2 linked regions of the Arabidopsis thaliana genome follow. The protein of the gene in region 2 purifies or fractionates together with the protein of the main gene of each other region. This does not show direct contact. Each region holds a gene or a part of one and is shown on either strand. Other genes may lie near its edges.

Evidence for each region. Proteins that work in one complex are often made in the same cells at the same time.
Region 1: the proteins of SDH7 (region 2) and MTO2 purify together in Arabidopsis thaliana (affinity purification with mass spectrometry, with the first as the bait; one large-scale study listed by BioGRID). This does not show direct contact.

Annotation. Positions count from the first base shown.
Region 1 is NC_003075.7:14,598,950-14,602,703, forward strand, and holds MTO2 (Pyridoxal-5'-phosphate-dependent enzyme family protein), read right to left. Parts: upstream 2,107-3,754; 5' UTR 2,066-2,106; coding exon 485-2,065; 3' UTR 267-484; downstream 1-266. Other genes in the region: VIP3 (Transducin/WD40 repeat-like superfamily protein), read left to right, coding at 1-208; AT4G29850 (transmembrane protein (DUF872)), read right to left, coding at 2,869-2,990, 3,736-3,754. UniProt on the Arabidopsis thaliana protein: Catalyzes the gamma-elimination of phosphate from L-phosphohomoserine and the beta-addition of water to produce L-threonine.
Region 2 is NC_003076.8:25,115,748-25,119,501, forward strand, and holds SDH7 (succinate dehydrogenase subunit), read left to right. Parts: upstream 1-1,666; 5' UTR 1,667-1,794; coding exon 1,795-1,854; intron 1,855-1,939; coding exon 1,940-2,008; intron 2,009-2,306; coding exon 2,307-2,409; intron 2,410-2,747; coding exon 2,748-2,818; 3' UTR 2,819-3,145; downstream 3,146-3,754. Other genes in the region: AT5G62570 (Calmodulin binding protein-like protein), read left to right, coding at 1-15, 146-306, 471-677, 759-1,220.

The sequences.
Region 1 (3,754 bases), on a different chromosome or scaffold from region 2:
AGACGGTGGAGCCATAGCAACCGGCTCAAGCGATAGAACTGTGAGGCTATGGGATCTTAAAATGAGAGCTGCGATTCAGACAATGAGCAACCACAATGACCAGGTTTGGTCTGTGGCCTTTAGACCACCAGGTGGAACCGGTGTCCGGGCTGGTCGACTTGCTAGTGTCTCTGATGACAAGAGTGTATCGCTCTATGATTACTCATGAACAATTCGGTTTTTTGACTTTTTTCTTTTATGCATTCTCCAAGACGCATCTAGTTGTAACAATATAATCTGCAACAGGTTGATTTTGACCGGAGTCTTTAGATTTATCGCTTACACAAAAAACAAAGAAGATAAAATGATTCAAACTTTGCGATAGAACTTTATTGGAAAACTGAGAAACAGATAAAGATCACAGAGAGATGAGTTGAAGAGTAACGCAAACAAACGTCTAAAAGTTTTCAAAAAACAAAACAGCTAAAGATTATGGTCTTGTCTCTTATGACGTAAGTGTATTACTTCCTAAGTAACTCTTGAGAACATCCATGACAGCTCCGAAATCTGCTTTCACATCAACAGGAGGATTGGAGAATCTGCAAGCCATGTCAGGGATGGCATTGGAGTGATAATCTATCTTAGACTGAGTAAACTTCAACCCATGAGCAGTACTCACTACCACAGTTCGATCAGTCGGTGCAATCACTCCTTGATTCCTCAGCTTGAACAGAGCAGTTAGAGCAACACCTGTATGAGGACAGATAAACATTCCTGTCGAATCCGCTTGAGCCATCGCATCCATCAGCTCCTCCTCTGTGGCTTCTTCTACAATACCATTGCACTTCTTGAGAGCGTACACAGCTCTATCGATGGAGACAGGGTCACCGATCTGAATCGCAGAGGCGAAAGTGGTACTTGCAGTCATGGGCTTGAAGTCCTTCCAACCAGACTTGTAGTGCAAGTAAAGAGGATTAGCATTAGCTGCTTGTGCACAGACCATCCTCGGGATCCTATCGACAAGTCCCAGTTCTTGACACATCTTAAACCCTTTGTAAAAGGCATAGATGTTTCCTAGGTTACCTCCAGGAACAATCACCCAATCAGGAACTTGCCAATCAAACTGCTGCAAAATCTCAATAGCTGCAGTTTTCTGCCCTTCTAACCTCAAACTATTCAACGAATTCGCCAAATAAATCGGCAATTCCGCAGTTATCTCTCTAATCAGCTTCATACACCCATCAAAATCAGTGTCAATACTCAAAACAAACGCACCATTAGCTATCGGCTGAACCAGCTGAGCCATAGAGATCTTGTTCGCCGGTAAAAACACAATCGATGGGATTCCAGCGGAGGCGCAGTAAGCAGATAGAGCAGCAGAAGTATCTCCGGTGGAAGCACATCCGACACCAACCACAGGTCGTTTCATCTTTCTCAGACGATTAACTTGACTAACCAAAACAGTCATTCCAAGATCCTTGAAACTTCCTGTATGACTAATCCCACAGTGTTTCACCCACAGATCATTCATACCTAGAAACTGCTTACCAAATCTCTCTGCCCAGAACAGATTCGAGTTTCCTTCAAAAGCTGAAACGATGTCGTCGTCATCGATCTCAGGAAGAACCCACTCTTTCTTCGACCAAACACCCGATCCATAAGGCCATGTGCTTTTACCAACACGCGAATCGAAGAGATCACGCCAATACGCGCCATCGAATCGCTTCAAAGCCTCCATATCGTGTTCGACATCAAGCAAACCACCGGAGCGGCTACGGTACACGATCTCGTCGAGAGAGTAAGACTCCGTGGATCCAGGAGCTGCATTAAACGGAACGTATTTAGCTGAAAATGGATTCACGGCGTTGGAACGATTACGACGAGCCTCATCTCGAATGTTATCCTCGGTACGGTGAGGAGGCTTGACCGCTGTCTCGATCGGGGCTTTGATGTTGTTGCCATCGGCGGTACAGGAGATGACGACGGGGCGGTGGCGGAGGAGAGAGGTTGACCGGTGGCGGCGGATGGGGTCTTGTTTAGGGTTTAAGGACGATACAGAGGCATTGAAGAGACAAGACGAAGCCATTTTTTCTAGAGAATGAGAAGTGAGATGCGGCTGAGGATTTTGAGGAGAGGACACGAGTGAGAGAGAGAGAAAACTATATTCAGATACTTAAACCGGAAATGTCTTAGAACCGGCTAGTCGGTTTAAGCTTTTAGGTTAATTGGGATTATGTATGTGACGTAGAGAGATATTTTGGGCCCATTAATCATTCAAATATCTGGATCGCTTTCCGTATATAGCAATTGAATATTTATGTTTTGTCACGTTTTGCTTTAAACAGGCTAATAAAGTGCATGTTATAAGGAACATTCATGTTGATGACAAAAAGATAAAAGGTTACATTTGACCCAAAGAAAACAATAATGTTGAACATAAAAATTCACATAAGAATCACGTTTTAATTTTGATATAACACCAATACACCATCATGATATAGATTGAAACTCTAGTAGTAACAATGTGTAAGTTGGCCAAATTTGTAATCAATTAAATACTGCATCCAGAGGAATTTGATGGAAAATGAACAATTACATCTGAAAGCAACATGTGAACACTCCAAGTATCCCATATTACTTGGTTCGAATTGGAAATCTTTATAGAAACAAATATCAATTTGAACCGGGTGTATATTTATAGATATGTAAGTATAAATCTGACTAAACTGTCACAGACTCGAATTTATTTGACAAGAAGAAGGAGAAAGTAAGAAAGGACTGGACTCAAATTCTATAAAACTACACAAAAGAGAAAACAAGTCAATCATTGCTATAGAGTAATAAAACATCTCTATACATTTTGAGTAGGAGAGATTCAAAAGGGGACACCTAAACGGGCGGTATGTTTGAGAAGGAGAAACCTTTGTATCCTTTGTAAGCATAATACGCAATCCGTGTATAGTAAAACCCGGGAATGAACAGAAGACACCCGAGGACGATGAAGAAAATCCCTGGTTTCACCATCAAAAATATCAAACAGAGAATGATAGGTCATTGATGCAATGATGAGAAAGAAGTAGTTCCGGCAAAACGGAAGAAAACAGCAAATCAAATGAAATCAAGTTTAAGTACAATGCTGATACTTGCTTTCGCTTTGCAGTATTGCATTGGGGATGTATGAAATGCATTAATGAATTACAAGCCCAGAGGAAGAAGAGCAAACTAGCTAATTTGAAGTGAATCTCATGTCTATGTTACAAGCAGAATTGGGATATATCAATAACAGTATGTGATGATAGTGATCTAAAAAGTTAATGGAATCCAACGGAGATCCTTCCCTTTTTTATCTCACAGATAAGAGAAGCTTAGAATCATCATATACTAGTTTCTATCGGAAGTTTACTAATCATTCTAACAATGAAATCAAATCGTATGCCTTTGGAAAACTTGTGTCTATTCATCCAAATCTCCAGAAAACAGAGAGCAAAAGGCCAAGCTGAAACGAAATTACACTCCACCGTAGCTAACCAGAGCACTTGCAATCTATATCTATCAGCTTAATTACCAAAATTATAACATAACTTCACCAAATCTAAAAAAATTCCTAAAACAATCTAGCTGAAATCAATTACTGTTTTCTAAATCTCTCAAACTAGCAAAGATAAGTCCCACATATTCTCTCATGAATTCCCAATTTCTACTCCAAGACTGGATCAATAAATGTGGAATAAGTAAGAAAGGTGAAGAAATCGCTACCGTGGCCTCGATCACCGCC
Region 2 (3,754 bases):
ATCATCGAGGAGAGTGTAAGTATTGCTTGTTAGTTTATTCTCTCACATTGAGTATCATTGAACCAATTTACTTTCCTGTTCTCATATTTTCTGTAAATTAAAAGAAGTTGTTTCTTTCTTATGACTCTTTCTCTCTTATTTGTAGTGTACAAAAAGCATCATCCTCCTTCTCTTTTCGATGAAGTATGGAGATTGGAAAAGATAGGGAAAGATGGAGCATTTCACAGACGACTGAATTTGTCAAATATAAACACTGTCAAGGATTTCTTAACACATTTCCATTTAAACTCTTCAAAACTCCGACAAGTAAGATTCGTCTTCCTTACTCTGTGCCTATGTGACTAAGGCTTCTGTGGTGGGCGTGAATCTTTTGTGTCACCAGTAATAATGGTTTGTGATTGATTCTCACCTGGTGAGAAATACACAGTTTTAACTTGTCTACATGTAATGATGATTGATGTTCCTTGCAGGTTCTTGGTACGGGTATGTCTTCAAAGATGTGGGAAATTACTTTGGACCATGCTCGATCATGTGTTCTAGATAGTAGCGTCCATGTGTACCAAGCTCCTGGATTTCAGAAGAAAACAGCTGTTGTCTTCAACGTCGTAGCTCAAGTGCTTGGACTGCTCGTGGATTTTCAGTATATTCCTGCTGAAAAGTTATCAGAGATTGAAAAGGCACTGATCCTCTCTGTCTACATATTTGACTTGGTTTCTCTTCTACATACTCTCAGGTTTACATAAATTTTCTGATTTCAGGCTCAAGCGGAGGTGATGGTAATTGATGCATTGAGTCACCTAAATGAAGTAATCTCGTATGATGATGAGGTTTCCATGATGAGGAACGTTCTCAATGCCCCGGCTTCTCAAGGCAGTGTTGCCGGGATTGATTATTCGGGTCTGAGTTTGACCAGTTTGGACGGATACGGTTTTGTGTCAAGTCTTCACAACACAGCAGAATGTAGTGGCAAGCACAGTGATGATGTTGACATGGAAGTTACTCCACATGGTTTATATGAAGACTACGACAATCTCTGGAACTGCTCTCACATTCTAGGCTTAGAAGAACCGCAATCTGAGTTGCAGAGTGCGCTTGACGATTTCATGTCACAGAAGAATGCTTCGGTCGGTGGTAAGGCTCACAGCAAAAGATGGACAAAGCTTTTCAGTGTCTCGAGATGGCTCTCTGTTTTCAAGTATGTCAAGTTAGGAAAAATATAAAATGAGTTTAGTACACAAAAGAACAAAACGACTCGCTGCGCCGCGCCCTGGACAGATTCGTGTATATATATACTCGGGGAAAGCTTGGGTTTCTGATGATCCAGAGGCGTTCAAAAGTGTTTTCTTTCTTCTTCTTCTTCTGGTTGTCTCCATCTTTGTGTTAAAGATGTGAATATATGTTTTAGGACAGCTTCATTTTTGTTGAAAGCTTAAAAAACAGGGTCTTTTATAATCTCTGTGATTAGTACCAAATTGCAGATTTGCAGAACTACGTTTTTCTTGGTTTGTCAGGTAATGTGAAACTGAATAAAATGAATATTATTTGAATCAACTGAGATTTTACATTATCTTCTAGAGTTTTGTGTTTGAGATTCAAAGAACACTAGACTGAGTATGAAGATTTTGGGTGAGTAAAAACAATCAGGGTGATAATTTATCATACAATAGTTTTGGGGTCAAAATGGAATAATTCTAGAGTATAGAGCCCATGTTGAAAAGCTCGAAAATTCTTTCCAATTCCAGAAGAAAAGGTTTTGCTGTTTCCCTGTGAGCGATCTTCGATACTCGTCTGGGCATGGCGTTTTTGCTCAACAACGCTTCAATTTCATCTCATTTACGCTCGTCTTCTTCACAGGTTTGGATCAAATCTTGTTAATCGATTATTGTTGGAATTTTGTTTGATTTTTGTGACAATTTTTTCCCTTACGAAATTTTTGAAGAAGACGGGTGATGCTTTATCAATATCGCGTCGTGGATTCCACATTGAGCCAGGAACTCGAGAGAAAGCTGTAAGTTAATCTCTGTTTCTGTTCGAGTCCTGGATCATTTTGGACTCAGTTTTTGTGGAATTTTCTGCATCTATTGTGATTTGAAGATACTAATTAGGGTTCATGAAAGAATTGGCTTTTATATAGATTCCCTGAGACTCTCATGTGTGTCCCTAGTAATGTTCGTTGTCTGAATCTATTTGAAAGAGTAATTTTTATGAGAGTTTTGAGTTGTTGTTGATGCTTATGCTGTTGTTATATGGCATTTTCTTAAAGCTCTTGATGAGTTTGTGTTTGCTTAAATTGAAATCCTGTGTAGCTCTTGGCTGAAGATTCTGCTTTGAAGAGATTCAAGTCTCATAAGAAAAGTGTGCACAAACTGAAGAGGATTGGTGATGTGCTCACTGTTGTTGTTGTTGCAGGTAAAAACACTTTAGTTCATAACTTTTGGTCGAAGCTAATCAGATTCTTGTTTTGTTAGTGGTCTAGAAACATAATCTGGTATGGTTCAGGAATCATAATGAATCTGAGTAAGAGATTGACTAGGCTAGGCACACTTAGATATTTTCACCTTGCTTCTTGCAATTAAGAAAGCTGTAGATTGAATCTCATAGGTTTCATGTAGAGCTGAGCTTATTATGTCAAATCAAACTAACAACGTTCTTCTCTGTTGTTCTTGGTAATATGAATTATGGATTCACGACATACTCGAAATCTAAATTGTGACTTATCTCGTGTCTTGCTTGTTTTTTTGTCTTAGGATGTTGCTATGAAATCTATGTCAAAGCTGTGATGAAAAAAGAAGCTCTGGCTGCAGGGAAAAGCTCATGAGTGTTCTTGTCTTTGTATGCCTTTTTGTTTTATCCTTTATACAGTGTCTCTTTCTAATAATCTCACAATAATGTTTGTTTACTCAATGAAAATGGCATCTAATAAAGTAGACTAAAAGAAAAAGACATTGTCCAGGGAAACCAAACTCTGGTTTTTTCTGACGTTGTGTGGAATCTCTGCTTTTTCTTCTTTTTAAATATTCCTTAGCTTTTCACTTATTTGTACTTTGCTTAAAGATACACTCTCCATTTATAGATAACTGCAACGATTAATGTCTTATCCATGGATTAGGTGACTGTATTTATGTGAAATTGTGAATGATCAATCACACTTAATGGTTTACACTGGACATGAAATTGTTTCGAAAGGATTAGTAGAGCGAGTGGGCCGGTTCGGTGTAGCCTACCTCTATCTTGGGCCTCTCTCTAGGCCCAATTTGGGTTCAAACCGGTTGAGACGAGGTCTCAAACCGAAATCTAACTTTACACCCTTAATTTTCAACCTAATTGTGACTCAACAAGAACATATCCACCACTGACCACTTGTTTTCCACAAATCATGCAAATTTGATTAATACCTACTGAGTACTGATAAAAACAAGTACAAAGAGCTTTCATGCTCCCTTCTGATAACATTGGTTCACCAAAGATGTAATATAAAAAATGTTGGAATATTAGTTGAACCACCTTGGAGAACGTATAACAAAGAAGCCCAACAAATCAAGTTACTTTTGCTTGATTTGCACACATTCATGTTTGAAAGCTACAATTCATATGTTCTATATTATCTACATTTATACTCATAGTTGATATGTTGTCGAAATTCTATCAATTTATGATATTGATAGGTTTGCAATTTCGTAAAAGAAACTCTCACATCTATTTTGACTAACCCACACGTTTTTAAAAATAATAAAACTATGAGTAATTACACATC